2 linked regions of the Anolis sagrei genome follow. The main gene of each other region encodes a partner of the protein of the gene in region 2 in a complex. Links are inferred from orthologs where the notes say so. Each region holds a gene or a part of one and is shown on either strand. Other genes may lie near its edges.

The links.
Region 1: the proteins of IRAK2 (region 2) and IRAK4 are in contact, whole or in part, in a crystal structure (PDB 3MOP), measured with the Homo sapiens proteins. The link is inferred for Anolis sagrei from reciprocal best matches to the Homo sapiens genes IRAK2 and IRAK4. Residues at the interface, in NP_001561.3 of Homo sapiens: Tyr6, Ile36, Lys44, Met48, Glu59, Trp62, Trp63, Trp64, Gly65, Met66, Arg67, Gln68, Ala69, Gln73; in NP_001107654.1 of Homo sapiens: Asp24, Phe25, Pro28, Gln29, Lys34, Glu92, Phe93, Phe94, Ala95, Pro96, Ser98, Val105.

Annotation. Positions count from the first base shown.
Region 1 is NC_090025.1:137,127,985-137,135,934, forward strand, and holds the start of IRAK4 (interleukin-1 receptor-associated kinase 4), read left to right. Parts: upstream 1-4,703; 5' UTR 4,704-5,131; coding exon 5,132-5,134; intron 5,135-7,661; exon of another isoform or gene 7,662-7,810; intron 7,811-7,941; coding exon 7,942-7,950. Other genes in the region: pseudouridylate synthase PUS7L, read right to left, coding at 1-126.
Region 2 is NC_090022.1:49,808,248-49,815,468, reverse strand, and holds the start of IRAK2 (interleukin-1 receptor-associated kinase-like 2), read right to left. Parts: upstream 3,061-7,221; 5' UTR 2,850-3,060; coding exon 2,726-2,849; intron 1-2,725. UniProt on the Homo sapiens protein: Binds to the IL-1 type I receptor following IL-1 engagement, triggering intracellular signaling cascades leading to transcriptional up-regulation and mRNA stabilization.

The sequences.
Region 1 (7,950 bases), on a different chromosome or scaffold from region 2:
ATGCATATTAATTTCTGTCACAACAAAGTCACTTGGAAAGGTTTTGATACAGCCACAGAAGCCAACATGATCATTCACATAAGTGGAAGAGTCATGTGTTACGGGTGTGCCAGAGTCTTCTTCCATTCCAGTATTAGATAGTCTAGAAAAAGTAACAAAAAAGATCAAGTTAATTCTCAGAATATTATCTGGATGTCGGGGATGTGATAGGCTGTGAAAAGCTAAATTTAGAGACAGCCATTACATTTTAAAAACATATTTTAATACCTATTTTACATTAAAAATTTAAAATGTACTCTATGTAATCTGAAGTCATTGCTATTTACTATCATGTCAATTTGGACTTATGGCAAGGTTCCTTAAACATTATATACTATTAATTATTTAAAGTTAAAGTGGTGTTGAACTGCATTAATTCCCAAACCTGGAGAACTAGAGTTTGGGAACTGCTGCTGTCATTTGACTAATCCTGGGCTAATGGTGCTGGACCACAACTCTCATCAACTCCTATTTGCATGGTCAGCATCCCTGACTCAGAGATAATGGAAGCTATTGTTGCAGCTATCAAACTGGGGTTCCAAACATTCAACCCCTTCTGTGGAAGTTGCGCCCTTCGTCCAAGGAGGAAAAAACCCAACAAAAAGAAACTGTCCTTTAGCAAAGAAATATTTATATGAAGGAATTTACAAATGAAGCAGCATCCTTAGAATATTCAGCTGCTTCCACACAATGGCTTGTAAACACAAAGTCCTTATCTCCAAATAAGACGCCACAGTCTTGCTCTTCAGACGTTGTAATGATATTACACCTCTGGCAACTTCAGCCTTGGGCTCCAAACTCTCTCTCCAATCTTCAATCTTTCTCCAACCTATTTCCAGCCTCGAGTAACACAATGTACTTAGTCTCTATTATTAGTACTTCAACTCCCACAGGTGGCTTGATTGTTGCTGACCATACAATGATTGGACATGATTCTTACAATCTCACTTACCCATTTTTCACTTTAGAAATGACCTAAACAATATAAAACTCTGACACCTATAGCCCAAGATTTGAACACTTGATGAGAAAATAAAAACCAGGAGAGGCAAATCTTCCTGCACAAATACCCTGCTTTTTCAGAGCCATACATTGGAAATGATCTTTCCGATCCCTCTCCATTGGAATATGGAAGGTTTAGGTGCTCTTACTGCCTATTACAGGCAAAACCAGCTGATTCCCAATCCATCTAAGACACAGACATGTGCTTTTCACCTTAAGAACAGACAAGCATCTTGATCTCTGAGGACTGCCTGGGAAGGAATTCCACTGGAGGATTGCAGCACACCAAAATACCTGAAATATCAAGCAAAAAGTGGGTGCTAGAAATAATATCATATGAAAGCTGACTGGCACAACCTGGGAATCACAACCAGACACAGTGAAGACATCTGCCCTTGCGCTTTGCTACTCTGCTGATGAATAGTGAACCTTTAGCATTTTGTCTTCTATTAGCACTTTATACTGATTTAGGACTGCTTGTTCGTTTCCACCAACGCCCCACCTCCTCTATCTTGTTCATGCCCAGCATTATTTTTCAACTTAATTACATTTGGCCCAGCCATAGTTTTAAATGTGTTTTGTGCTATTGTTCAATGTTTATGCTATTTGTGTATGAGATTTATTTTAATTGCTTTGTATTAGTAGTTGTATTTTGTTTCATATTGTGGTTGTTATTGCTTGTATTGATGTATTGTGGGCTCGGCCTCATGTAGGCCACACCGAGTCCTTAGGGAGATGGTAGCGGAATATAAATAAAGTTTATCATTAAGATTATTATATTATTATTAATATGCATGGCCAGTGTGGAATACATCTCACCATGCTAAAACAGTGGGTGTGGCTCTTAAGGAGACATACTGTGTTCTGTCGCAGCTGGAGCCGAAATGAAGTGCTTTTAAGAGAGGATGTTAGGCTTGCATCCAGCGGGAAGCCAGGGGGCCCGAAAAGAAGCCTTTAGGAAAAAATCCCCTTATTAAGCAGTCTTTATAAGGCTTGAGCTTAAATATAACAGTTCTTTATTAATGAACAAACAGGAATTGTAAACTTTCTTATCAGTCTATTAGCTCTTGCAATCTTGTTTACAGGAAACAGGCACTATCTTCAAAACTTTGCTCGAAGGAAAATTCCCCCTTTTAGCTCCTCCCAGGCTGTTGTGAACCTAAACCTAACTGACTTGAGTCCACTACCGGCTGAACTGCGTCTCAGAACCTAGCAGGCCCAACAGGCCTGTAATCACTTAGCTGGAGATGAGCAGAGCTGTTATTCCCTCTGGAAGTCCTCAGGGCTGTAAAGCTGTTTCCCTGGAACCCTTTGGGAATCTGTAGAGGCTCTTAAAACTGTTCTCCCCCGGGAAGTCTTAAGAGACGAAGCCTTTGCACAGGACGTTTGTGTACATCCTCTGCATTGACTTCCTTTTTGAGACTAACTGAAAAATGGTCCCTTCCCTACAAAAAACCCAGAGAGGGGCGAGACCAGGGATCCTAACTATTATTGACAGGTGGCTTGCCCTATGAATGCAAATTATAACAGGAAGCCACCCTGCTGCAAAATCCCAAGCCTGGGATTGCAAAGCAACATTTAATCCAAAGAAATAAAATTGGAGCTCCTGGAACAGCTGTTCCAGAACATACTGCATTATGACAGGATGTCTACGCACTACTCTGCTGGATAAATCATACCGTTTAGCTGGTATTGCACTACCTGATATCTGTCAGAAAGTAGCAGGCAGTAATGAAAGGACCAAGACATTGACATCTCCGGCCTTGTTTGGCTATCAGTCAGCAAGCTAAGGCCTTAAATCAAGAAATAGCTTCCTAAGATTTACAGAGATACTCGCAGGAACACCTTAGCATTCTCAAAAGAGGCAAGCTAAAACCAAGAAAATCAAGCCATGGCTGAACTGGATGAGAGATTCCCACCGGGTGCACAGAAGACTGGGTGACTTGGAAGGCGCTGAACAGACTGCGGTCAGACACCACGAGATGCAGAGCCACCCTTAAGAAACGGGGCTACAAAGTGGAGTGTGGAGAAGAGCAAACCACAGACCACCTACTACAATGCAACCTGAGCCCTGCCACATGCAGAATGGAGGACCTTCTCACAGTGACACCAGTGGCCAGCTTCTGGTCAAAAGACATTTAGGATAGTGCCAAGTTTTTAACTTTGCTTGTGTTTTTAAGTATAACTGTATCCTCAATTCGTTTCTGATAAATAAATAAATAAATAAATAAATATGGGAGGACTAGGAATACAAACTGAGCCACCCTGATTCAAAATAGTCCAAACTCGTCCACATGGCTGGCTGAGATAGTGACACCTTTGCTTCCTGATGGTTCAGGACACACAAACTTTATGAACAATACTATGAAAAAAATATTGTGCAGACCATTATGTGCATATATAAAACAGAAATAAATGGTTGTGCTTGGACTTCTGTCTCATTTGCAAGATGTCTGATTATGTACGTTTTTGAAAATGCAGGTATCTGGAGAGAGAAAAATATTCAAAATCCCAAACACAAGCACTTCGGATAAGGGATACTCAACCTGTACAGATTCTGTGATCAAGATCCCCGCAGATTAAAAAAAAAAAATACCCCAACTCCTGCCTTTCTTAAATGTCTTTGGAAGGCTCCTCTGCAAACACAATCCCAGTCTCCAAAGGGATCTTCCATTTGCCACTCGCCGCAGGGGAAGATTAGGAGGCGTGGCCAAGTGAGCAGACTATACCACTGTCATTGATTAGGGGTGGCTCTCATAGTGAGAAACGGAATGGTCTCCCTTTTCCAGTTTGGCCGATACCATTATGGCCCAAACTCAAAAAAATAAACCAAGCAAAGCAGCCAGTCCTCTCTACGAGTCAGAAAGCACAATGTAAGTGAGAAGTGTGGGATAAAATGAAGTGCAGCTCCCCTCATCAGCCTCTCTGTTGGTTTTAAGGAAGCGTCCCCACCCGCTTTCCTCCGCAATGGGCCTGTCCTAAAGGGAAGAGGAGCTAATGCGCATGCGTGGAATTGGAGCGCTCAGGGGCGCGCCAGATTAGAGGGAAGTGACAGCGGGGAAGTTCCCAGGTTGAGTCAAATGGGGAAGCAAGTGGGCGGAGCCAAAGGGGAAAGTAAATGGGGGAGCCCTTTAGCTGGGGAAAGGCTCATTTCGGGGACCTTAAAGGGTGAGCTATGCCATTTATCCTCTCCCTCTTTTTTCTTCTTTGAACAGCAGGGCTGTGCTCAGTATTGTAAAGTCCTGGTTTAGCCAGAACAGGCACACAAACCCTTTAAATGCCTTTATATTTATGGTGTCTCTCCAAAATGTATTCACCCTTCTGTAATGATTTATGGCATAGCATCGTAGGATTTTCTTAGGCAAACAGTATTCAGGATGGTTTTGCCAATCCCAGGCTCAGGTACTCATTATTGGTGGTCTCCCATCCAAGTACTAACCAGGGCTGACCCTGCTTAGCTTCCAAGATCAGACAGCATCTGGTGCCTTGAGCCTAATTAGGGATAAGACTCTTTATTGTTTTATGTACACCTGTGTTTTTATATATGGACGTGATGGGATATTTTGGGATCCAAGTCTAAACATGGAATTCATTAATGTTTCATGTACACCTTATACACTGCCCGAAGTATGATCCCCCAGTGGTGCAATGGGTTAAACCCTTGTGCTGGCGGAACATGCTGACTGACAGGTCAGCAGTTTGAATCTGGGGAGAGCGGGTTGAGCTCCCTCTGTCAGCTCCAGCTCCCCATGCGGGGACACGAGAGAAGCCTCTCTCACACCAGAAGTGACTTGCAGTTTCTCAAATCATTTCTGACATGAAAAAATACTGCCCAAAGTTATTTCTATTTTTCATAATATTGTGCATGAGACATAGGTTGGGTACACTGAACCATCAGAAAGCAAAGGGGCCTCTGTTTTAGCCACCCATGAGATAATCTTGAATCTTGGAGTATTTTTGGATTTTGGAGTTCCATATATGTTCTAGAGAAGTGTTGTGAAATGACAAGAGAAACGTTGTGACTTTGGTTCAACAGTGTGAGCAGTGTGCATGACTGCACAATCATGGCGATTCGAACACCTAACATAAAATGGTAAATTAAGATGGAATTTTTAGCACCGATTACATTATTGTTATAACAACTATTTAAATAAAAGTATTCTGTTTGTTTGTGGGATTAACAACCCAAAAACCACTAGACGAATTGACACCAGATTTGGACACCATACACCTATCAGGCCAACAAGTGACCATTACTCATAAAAATACTGAAAAACACAGCAGAAGAGACTTAAAAAGCTAAAAAAACAAAATTTACATTACAACGCATGTGCAAAACCACACACACACACATATGCAAACACACATATACGCAAATATATATACACACAAAACATATATAAAGACTGGACCACAGCAATGCGTGGCAGGGGACGGCTAGTTCTTTAATATAAATGTCTTTAACTTTTGAGAGGAACTCGCGATGGCACATCAGGTTAAACCACTGAGCTGCTGAACTTGCTGACCGAAAGGTTGGTAATTCGAATCCAAGGAACAGGGTGAGCTCCTGCTGTTAGGCCCAGCTTCTGCCAACCTAGTAGTTTGAAAACATGCAATTGTGAGTAGATCAATAGGTACTGCTTCGACAGGAAGGTAATGGCGCTCCATGCAGTCATACTGGCTAAATGACCTTGGAGGTGTCTATGGACAATGCCGACTCTTCAGCTTAGAAATGGAGATGAGCACCCCCCCCCCCCGAGTTAGACACGACTAGACTTAATGTCAAAGGGATCTTTAACCTTTAAGAAATAATCATAACAACTGTTAGTTATATAAAAGGGTGTGTATGTATGTGTGTGTGTGTGCATCTATCTATCTATCTGTGGACACTGTTGCTTGCTCTGGTTAAGCACTGTGGAGTAAACTGCCACTTGTTTGGCTCCTTTCATTGAGCAGGCTCCCACTATCTGGATCAGAATCCAGCCTCCTTGTTGTTGTGTGCTTTGAAGTCATTTCCAATCTATGGTGACCTTAAGACGGACTTAGCACAGGATTTTCTTGGCAACAGCATTTCAGAAGTGATCTGTGCTTGCCTTCCTCTGAGGTTAAGAAAGAGTGTCACTTGTTCAAAGACACCCAAGTGGGCATCATGACCAAGTGTGGATTTAGATTGTGATCTCCAGAGTCATAGAAACCAGTACACCACACTGGTTTCTATGATATATATATTGTCATTTAAAGATTTTGCCAGGTTTCATTAAAATTAGACTTTCTTTGGGTTGTACTTTTTTCAGGCTATATGGCCATGTTCTAGAGGCATTCTCTCCTGACATTTCGCCTGCATCTATGGCAAGCATCCTTAGAGGACCTCACAACCTATGAGGATGCTTGCCATAGATGCAGGCGAAACATCAGGAGAGAATACCTCTAGAACATGGCCATATAGCCCGAAAAAACCTACAACAACCCAGTGATTCTGACCATGAAAGCCTTCGACAATAGACTTTCTTTCTTAATACAGAAAGGGTTTTCTCCCTCCCCTCTGGATTTTCCCCCAGGAAAAGCTTTATAGTGCCCACCAGTTCATTATATTGTGTATATCAACACTAGAACACAGCCCGAAAACCACACAACACTCCACTGTATATCAGTTGTTCTCTCAACACCTCTCCCTGATAAGCATAATATTACCTTATCTGGGAACTGTGTTAAAATATATTCTAATTGATGGATAATCCTTTAAATGTTATCAGTTTGGGAGCAAATTGCTTGGTTTACATTATGTAATGCAGTTTATATTCCTGAGTTATAAATGTCATTTCCTAATTGGTTCTATCATAGAAATATGGGGAAAGTGTATTGAACTGCAAAAACTGTTTTTGCGGGACATCCTGCAGCACACTTTGCTATAGTTTTTCAATTATCTCTATAGATTTCTAACCAATTCAACATAGTTTGTGGCAACCACAAAAAACGTTTCTGGAGTATAGCAAGTACTTTCAAAGTAATTAGCGTACAATTAAACAACAAATAACTCTTTCAAACCAGAAACAGAATATTTTTTTCAAATTTTGTTACATAGTGTTATTGGTAAATCTTGGGCCTTATCTATATTATCAACGTTTCAGACTGCATTATGTGGTGAATGGATACATATATAATGCAGTTTAACTTCATTGAACTGCATTGTATGACTCTGACCATAAAATGAAGTTTTGCACTGTTATATTTATTTATTTATTTATTTATTTATTTACAGTATTTATATTCCGCCCTTCTCACCCTGCAGGGTACTCAGGGCAGATGACAGTGCACATATACATGGGAAACATTCAATGTCAATTAGACATACAATATATATAGACAGATACAGAAGCAATTTAACATTCCAGCTTTTCCAGCTTCATCAGGGTATGCTCAATTCTGGCCACCGGCCGGGGGGCGGGGGGCTGCTGTGCTGCTTCACTGTCTATTTGTGACACCGAGTCTTTTGATGGAGTACTTTCTCATGCTTCTGCATGCTGCTGGAAGGTTTTATGGCATTGTAAATTAGTTAAATAAGTAAATTAGTTAAATAAGCCTCTCCGCATAAAGCAGTACCTAAATTTTCTATTTGACAGATGCAACTGTCTTTTGGGCTGCAAAGGTCAACAGCAAGCTAAACTAATGGCCTGAAGCTCACTCTGACCCAGGCTGGCTTTGAACTCATGACCTCTCAGTCAGTAGTGATTTACTGCAGCTCGCTACTAACTAGCTGTGCCACAGCCAGGTATGGCAATGTGAATGGGACCTTGGAGGCATCCATATGTTGTATTGTTACTTCATGGTTGTAGAAATTGGTAGTTTAGGATTCTTTGCACATGCATATGCACATGCATATTATACTTTTTTTTTTGTCAGAAACTGGCA
Region 2 (7,221 bases):
ATTTCCTTCATGGGAAGGTAATACATTATTCATAGTATTTTAGAGACTTTGCCAACATTTGCTGACCCAAAACTGATTTTTCCTAATAGTGAATGAAAACATCAGAACTTTCATGCAGTTACACTGACAGGTTTGTGTTAATACATATTTGATTTTTTTTCCTATGGAAGAGAAAGCAAATGCTATTTAAATTAAGAAAATGAGTTAAACAACCTTTTCATCAGATGGTCTGACTTGGACAGAATAGAATCAGGTCCAACTACACAACACTTAGGAAATCTGAGTTTGCAATTCATGTTTTTGCTTAAATACAGCTGCAGGTATCCAAATTCCAAGTAATGTGCACTGTGGCCCACTATGCAAACAGAAATGATATACAAAGGTATTTTTCAAAAATTCTTATTACATAAGAAATTTTCTGCATTTGAAGAGTGTAGAAGAGCTTGGAAAAATTACTTTTTTGGACCACAACTCAGAGCCCTCCTGGTTTTTTGTTTTTCGTGTCAGGAGCAACTTGAGAAACGGCATGTCGCTTCTGGTGTGAGAGAATTGGACATCTGCAAGGACGTTGCCCAGGGGACGCCTGGATGTTTTGATGTTTTTACCATCCTTGTGGGAGGCTTCTCTCATGTCCCTGCATTGAGAGCTGAAGCTGAGAGAGGGAGCTCTCCCCAGATTAAAATCTCTGACTTGTTGGTCTTCGGTCCTGCTGGCACAAGGGTTTAACTCATTGTCTCCCTGGTGGCCACACTGGTTTCTGGGGGATTTTGGGAACTGTAGTCCACAATGATAACGTTTCCTAACTCTATTATCTAGTTAAGCATCCTGCTTGCTGCGCTGGATAACCAGATGTTTCCCAAAGAAACCACAAAGGAGAACTCAGATGCAACACAATTTTTCCACTTCACTTCTGAAAGGCTTTCTCCATATTCATCCTATTAATAGACTCATCTATACAAATAAAAGTGAAAATACGTACGCATGTGTGTTTGTACCTCAAAGGCTTCTATGTGGCTTGATGGACCTGGGCCAAACTTGGTACACATACCCTTTATTTCCCAAATTAAAATGTTAGCAGCATTTAAGCTAAAAACCCTAACCCTTTCAAGGCTCCAATCAAGGAAATTTGGCCTCGAATCTCCTGAGAGGCAGGCTTGTTGCTGACTCCCGATGCTCCCATGACATCTCAATTCTTGCATGACACCCGGTTTCATAAATTAAACAGGTATTGTGTGTCTGCACTTAACTTACAGGTTTATTGAATGGGTGTGAGTCTTAAGATAATAATTACCAATCACGCAAAGGTTTCAGGTTCAATGCAGACCAGATCCAGGTAGAGTTAGGAAACAATTCTGTCCGAAAGTCTGGAAAGAGGCTGTCAGACAGGATAACAAACAGGCCTGACTCAGTATAAGACAACTTCCATTGAACCTGAAGATGCTCTCAGGCGTGAAAGCTGAATAAACCAAGGTATTCAAATACTTCAATAAAGAATGAATTGCAAAGCGAAATATTCCATCCATCCATTTGATTAACAACCATTACAACCCCAAGCTTGTAGCTTGAAATTCAGGTTTGAATGCAGCTTCTTTGTTTAGCAAAACGTAGTTAGATTAGGACTCTGGAGACCAGACATGTTCCGACATGTAAACCTACTGGATGACCTTGAGCAAGTCACACACTCTCAGCCCCTGGAGGAAGGCAATTGCAAACCCTCTCCAAACAAACCTTGCAAGGAAAGCCCTGTGATAGATTCACCTAAGATGACAGACAAGGCAGAAATTCCTGGAAAGGCCCTCAACAACAGTCCCCAGGCTGCACATGTTTGGTCTACAGCTGCAGGAAAGTTGCCTATTACATTCTAATTTTTTTTGTAGTAGTAGTAGTAGATAAACATATTTGGAGGACAGGCCTGCTGGAAATAACAGATCAATCAATCAATCAATCAATCAATCAGAGACTGAGGCTGGTAAACAGAAGGGCACAAATGACATTTTTCATATCACCTTCATCTCTTACAATCCTCTGATTGTGGATAAAGGTAAGGGGGAATACTGCGTTATCTGGATAAAAAGTGGGAAGAATAACAAGTGAATGATTTCTGTAGTAGCACATACAGGAAGTCCCCAAGTTATGAATGGCAGGTTTGATCTTAAGTTGAATTTGTATCTTAAATTGGTGGTGCAGTGGGTTAAACCACCGAGCTGCTGAACTTGATGACCAAAACGGTTCAAATCCAGAGAGTGGAGTGAGCTCCCACTGTTAGCCCCAACTTCTGCCAACCTTGCAGTTCGAAAACATGCAAATGTGAGTAGATCAATAGGTATTGCTTCTGTGGGAAGGTAACGGTGCTCCGTGTAATCATGAAAAGCATGGAAACAAATCCTGGAAAGTTGTAGTTTTACAAGGTCTATAGCAGGCATGGGCCAACTTGTGCCCTCCAGGTGTTTTGGACTCCAACTCCCACCATTCCTGACAGCCTCAGACCCTTTCCTTTTCCCCTTCAGCTGCCAACTCCCACCATTCCTGAGGCTGTCAGGAATGGTGGGAGTTGGAGTCCAAAACACCTGGAGAGCCCAAGTTGGCCCATGCATGAGTTATCTCGACCTACTAATTTACATATGGTTTCTGACTGGCCAGCCTCAGCATTCGAACATTCTTAAGCAGCTGCGGGGGGAAGCTCCAGTGTGGCTGCACCCCGAGAGAGGCCACCAAAAGGGCTCACCAAAGCGCATCCAGTCGTAGTCGTGGAGGCAGTCCATCTTCTGGCAGAAGTCCTCCAGGACCCAGGCGGGGATGCCGTGGATGTATTCGGGGGGGTCCATTCCCTCCTCGCCGCCTTTGGCCATGGGGATCCCGGCAGAGAGAGAGAGAGAGCCTTCTTTACAGACTCAGAGAAGAGTTGGAAGAGACCCCAAAGGCCATCCAGACCAACCCCTTCAAACTCAAGAGAGACGCCTCTGCCGCCTTCCTCTTTGGAAACTCGCCTTTCCAGCTCCTGCTCCTTTGGCCGCCCCGCAGGGGCTTTCCCGGGTCTCGCCCCGCCCTTCAGACGTGACGCGTGTCCCTCCACTCCTGACGCAAAGGCGCTTCCCGCACTTGGGGGCGTCTCCACTGTAGAATCAATGCGGGTTGACACCGCTTCATACTCCCGTGGCTCAGTGCTTATGGATGCTGGGGCCCCTTCCACACAGCTGAATAAAACCCCACATTATCTGCTTCGAACTGTGCGGACTCAGATAACTCAGTCTAGAGCAGATATTGTGGGATTTTTCTACCTTGATATTCTGGGTTGTATGGTCCCAAGAGTTGTAGTTTGGTAAGCCTTCTTTTGGACAGAGAAGGCTCAAGACCTAAAACTACAAATCCCATGAGTCATGGTAGTTAAAGTGGTGCCAAACCTCATTAATTCTACATTCTTCAGGGCCCTTCCAACACAGCCCTATATCTCAGAATACCAAGGCAGAAAATCCCACAATATCTGCTTTGAACCGGGTTATCTGAGTCCACACTGCCAAAAAAATCCGGTTCAGAGCAGATTATGTGGGATTTTATTCTGCTGTGTGGAAGGTCAGCAGTCATTTATCTAAGGGGTGGAGTGACAAAACGAAGAGCCAATCATATTAGGTTATTTGCCCCTCCCTTTCTGTCCTCTATGACGTCACTCATTTGAAGTCAAAAGTTTTGGGGGTTTTTTAGGCCTGGGTAACAATGGAAAAATTTGTTTCTAAAATTGATTCATTTTTTTGGGGTTTTTGCGTTTCGATATTTAAAAGAATTCCGAAATTTTTCTTTTAAAAAGTTCAATATTTACGAAATTTCGTAAATGTTAAAAAAATTACGAAACATTAACGAAACAAATAACAATAACGAATCGATTCGTTAATGGCGGTCGCGACCGCGCAATACGCTAAAATACCTCCAAATGGGACAGGGGGAACTTCTGAAGCTTCCCTCTCCCTCTGTTGTTGACTGTTGGTGTGATATTATAATTTTTTTTCACTAATTAAACAAAAAACAACTATAAAACTTGCCCCAGACATGCAGAAATAATAACGAAATGACCTCAAACCGATAATGAAACGAATACATAACGAATCAAGAAGCATTTACGAAACGAATTTAAAAATTTGTTTCATTTTTAAGTTGCTCCAGAATGGTTCGTTATCGCTTCGTTATAAAAAAAATAACGAATTTTTAACGAATTACGAATTAACGAAACGAAACCGCCCAGCCCTAGTTTTTTTACAGCCAAAACAGGAAGGGAATAAAAAAAATTCTTCTCTGATTATATGCGCCACGAGCTATCTTGAAAAACTTACTTATATTTCTTGGCAGGAAATACAATGAACTTCTGCAATGAGGCAACTTCACTCTTACTGATAATCATAACTGGGAAGAGACAGACAAGTGTGTCCGAACTATGTATTGTACCACTGGTTTGCTCATTTATCTTCCGAAAATAGGAATTATTTGTTCTGACATTTTATGCAGGATCAAAAAACGTATACATTGCATGCTGTTATCCCCCCTATTTGGACACTCACCTGGGAGTAGAGATGGTGACAATAAAGGTGTTTGAGCTAGGTGTCCCCACCATATGTATTTATTTACAGTATTTATATTTCGCCCTTCTCACCTCGAAGGGGACCCAGGGCAGATCAGAATGCACACATGTACGGCAAACAATCCATGCTGCTTTTAGACATACAAGACATACAGACAGATAGAAGTAATTCAGCATTTTTTTTCCAACTTCGGCTCCTGAAGGTTGCTCGATTCCAGCCACAGAGGGAGCTGTCACTTCATCCACTATGACGCTGTGCGTTTGATCGTAGTATTTCTTCTTTGATCTGTGGCATTTTTATGGTGTTATAAATTAACCTCCCCGCTTTAAACGGTCCCTAATTTTTCTACTCACAGCTCAGCTGTTTTTGAACTGCTTAGGTGAACAGTAAGCTGGGTTATTAACAGTCAGGAGCTCAAACCCAACTCGGGCTTTGAACTTGCCACCTTCCAGTCGGCAGTGATTTATTGATGCTAGTGATTAACCAGCTGTGCTACAGCCTGGCCCTATATAACAACAACATTTTATTTATGTACCATCCTAAACGAGTGAACAACAACAAAATCTCCCCAAAAGGATGGTATATAAAGTATTATTAATTATTTATTATTATTATTATTATTATTATTATTAATTTTACTGACACAAAAGTACAGTATGTCACAGCAAATGAGATCTATATGCTGGATTTCGTATCAAAAAATCACAAGTCAAACACTTCCCAAGCGTCTAGGACGGTGTGATGTATTTTCGAATGATGTGCAAAGATCCAAGTAAGGTGGCCTTTTGTAGTTGACAGATAGTGATTTTGTCAATGTTTATTCTTTCCAAATGCCGGTTGAGATCTTTATTATTATTATTATTATTATTATTATTATTATTATTATTATGACACAGTAAACAAGATATATACACTGGATTTTGTATCACAAAATCACAAGCTGAACACTTCCCAAGTGTTTAGGACTGTGTGATTATTATTATTATTATTATTATTATTATTATTATTATTATTTGATACAAGATTAGTACTCGGAAAAAAGATCACTATGCTCGCTTTTGCATTCGATTATACGTCGGGCACTTCCCAAGTTTCTAGGACTGTGTGATGTATCGGCAAATAATGCATGCAGGTCCGAGTAGAGTGGTCTTTTGCAGCTGACACATGATAATTTTATCAGCGCCGATTGTGTTTAAGTGCAGGCCAAGGTCTTTAGGTACTGCACCCAGTGTGCTGATCACCACTGGGACCACTTTGACTGAGTCTTTGCAGTTCTATCTTTAAATCTTCATATTGTACAAGCTTTTCCAGTTTTCTTGTCAATCCTGCTGACACCTGGGATTGCAACACTGACAAATTATTATTATTATTATTATTATTATTATTATTATTATTATTATTTTACTGACAGTATGACACAGCAAATGAGGCATATTTGCTGGATTTCGTATCAAAAATCACAAGTCAAACACTTCCCAAGTGTTTAGGACTGTGTGTTGTTGTTGTTGTTGTTACATGGTGGGGACACCTAGCTCAAACACATTTATTGTCACTATCTATAGAGAAAGACTATATCACCCTAAATGCATGGATATTTAGTTGTTACTTCCCACAGCACTCAATCAGGCTTATTTTTTAGTATGTTTAGATTGCAACTTCAATGGAGATGCTTAAAAAACAATAATCATGAATTTGCAGTTCGACATTGCCAGAAACAAATATGGAAATTGTACAATTTATAGAAAACGGGTATCTACTGAAGGATCCCGTTGTTTTGAGATAAGAAAGTAATGTAACTTAAGGCAATGCAGAAGAGAAAAGTAGGAAGGAGCCAGCAAATCCTCTCTGTATCACTGCCCCATCCAAACATCCGTTAAGGAGAACAATGCTGTACTACTCTGAAAATAAAAGGAATGTACTTAACTCAATTGCCAAACAGGAAAAGGTAAAAAACATCTGCCAGCAGATTTCATGACTACTGGGACTATCTATCACCATTGCTTACAGAAGTTAGGCATGTCAGCACGCAAAGGGATCTTCTACCATCTTAGAGCCTGGGTGCATCCATTTAATAGAATGCAGTTTGATACCACTTTAACAGGCATGGCTCAATGCTATGGAAGCCTAAGAGCTGTAGTTTTACAAGGTCTTTCGCCTTCTCTGCCAAAGAGTGCTGGTTCCTCACTAAACTATAGGATCCACAGCAAGAATCCACAGCATGGAGCCATGGCAGTTATAAGATGCAGTGTAGATATATCCTGAGTAAACTAAGTTGGTAGCATATGCTTCCACCAACTACTGACTGGACACCATGTTTAACGGCAGTCTCTGAGGATGTAACATGAGCACCTGCTTGTCCGATTTTGTTGGATTCATTTCAACTAGTTAAACCCGAGGATGTGGACAAGATACTTGGAGGAATGAGAGCGACCACATGCATCCTAGACCCCTGCCCATCCTGGCTGATAAAAGAAAAGACAGAGGAGGATTGACCAAGTGGGTGAAGGTGGTGGTTAATGCCTCCCTTGAAAAAGACATCACTGGGCCCCACTCAATTCGTCAACTATCGGCCAGTTTCCAAACTCCCCTTTTGGGGCAAAGTCCTGGAAAGTGTGGTGGCCTCACAACTCCAGGTATTATTGGAAGACATGGA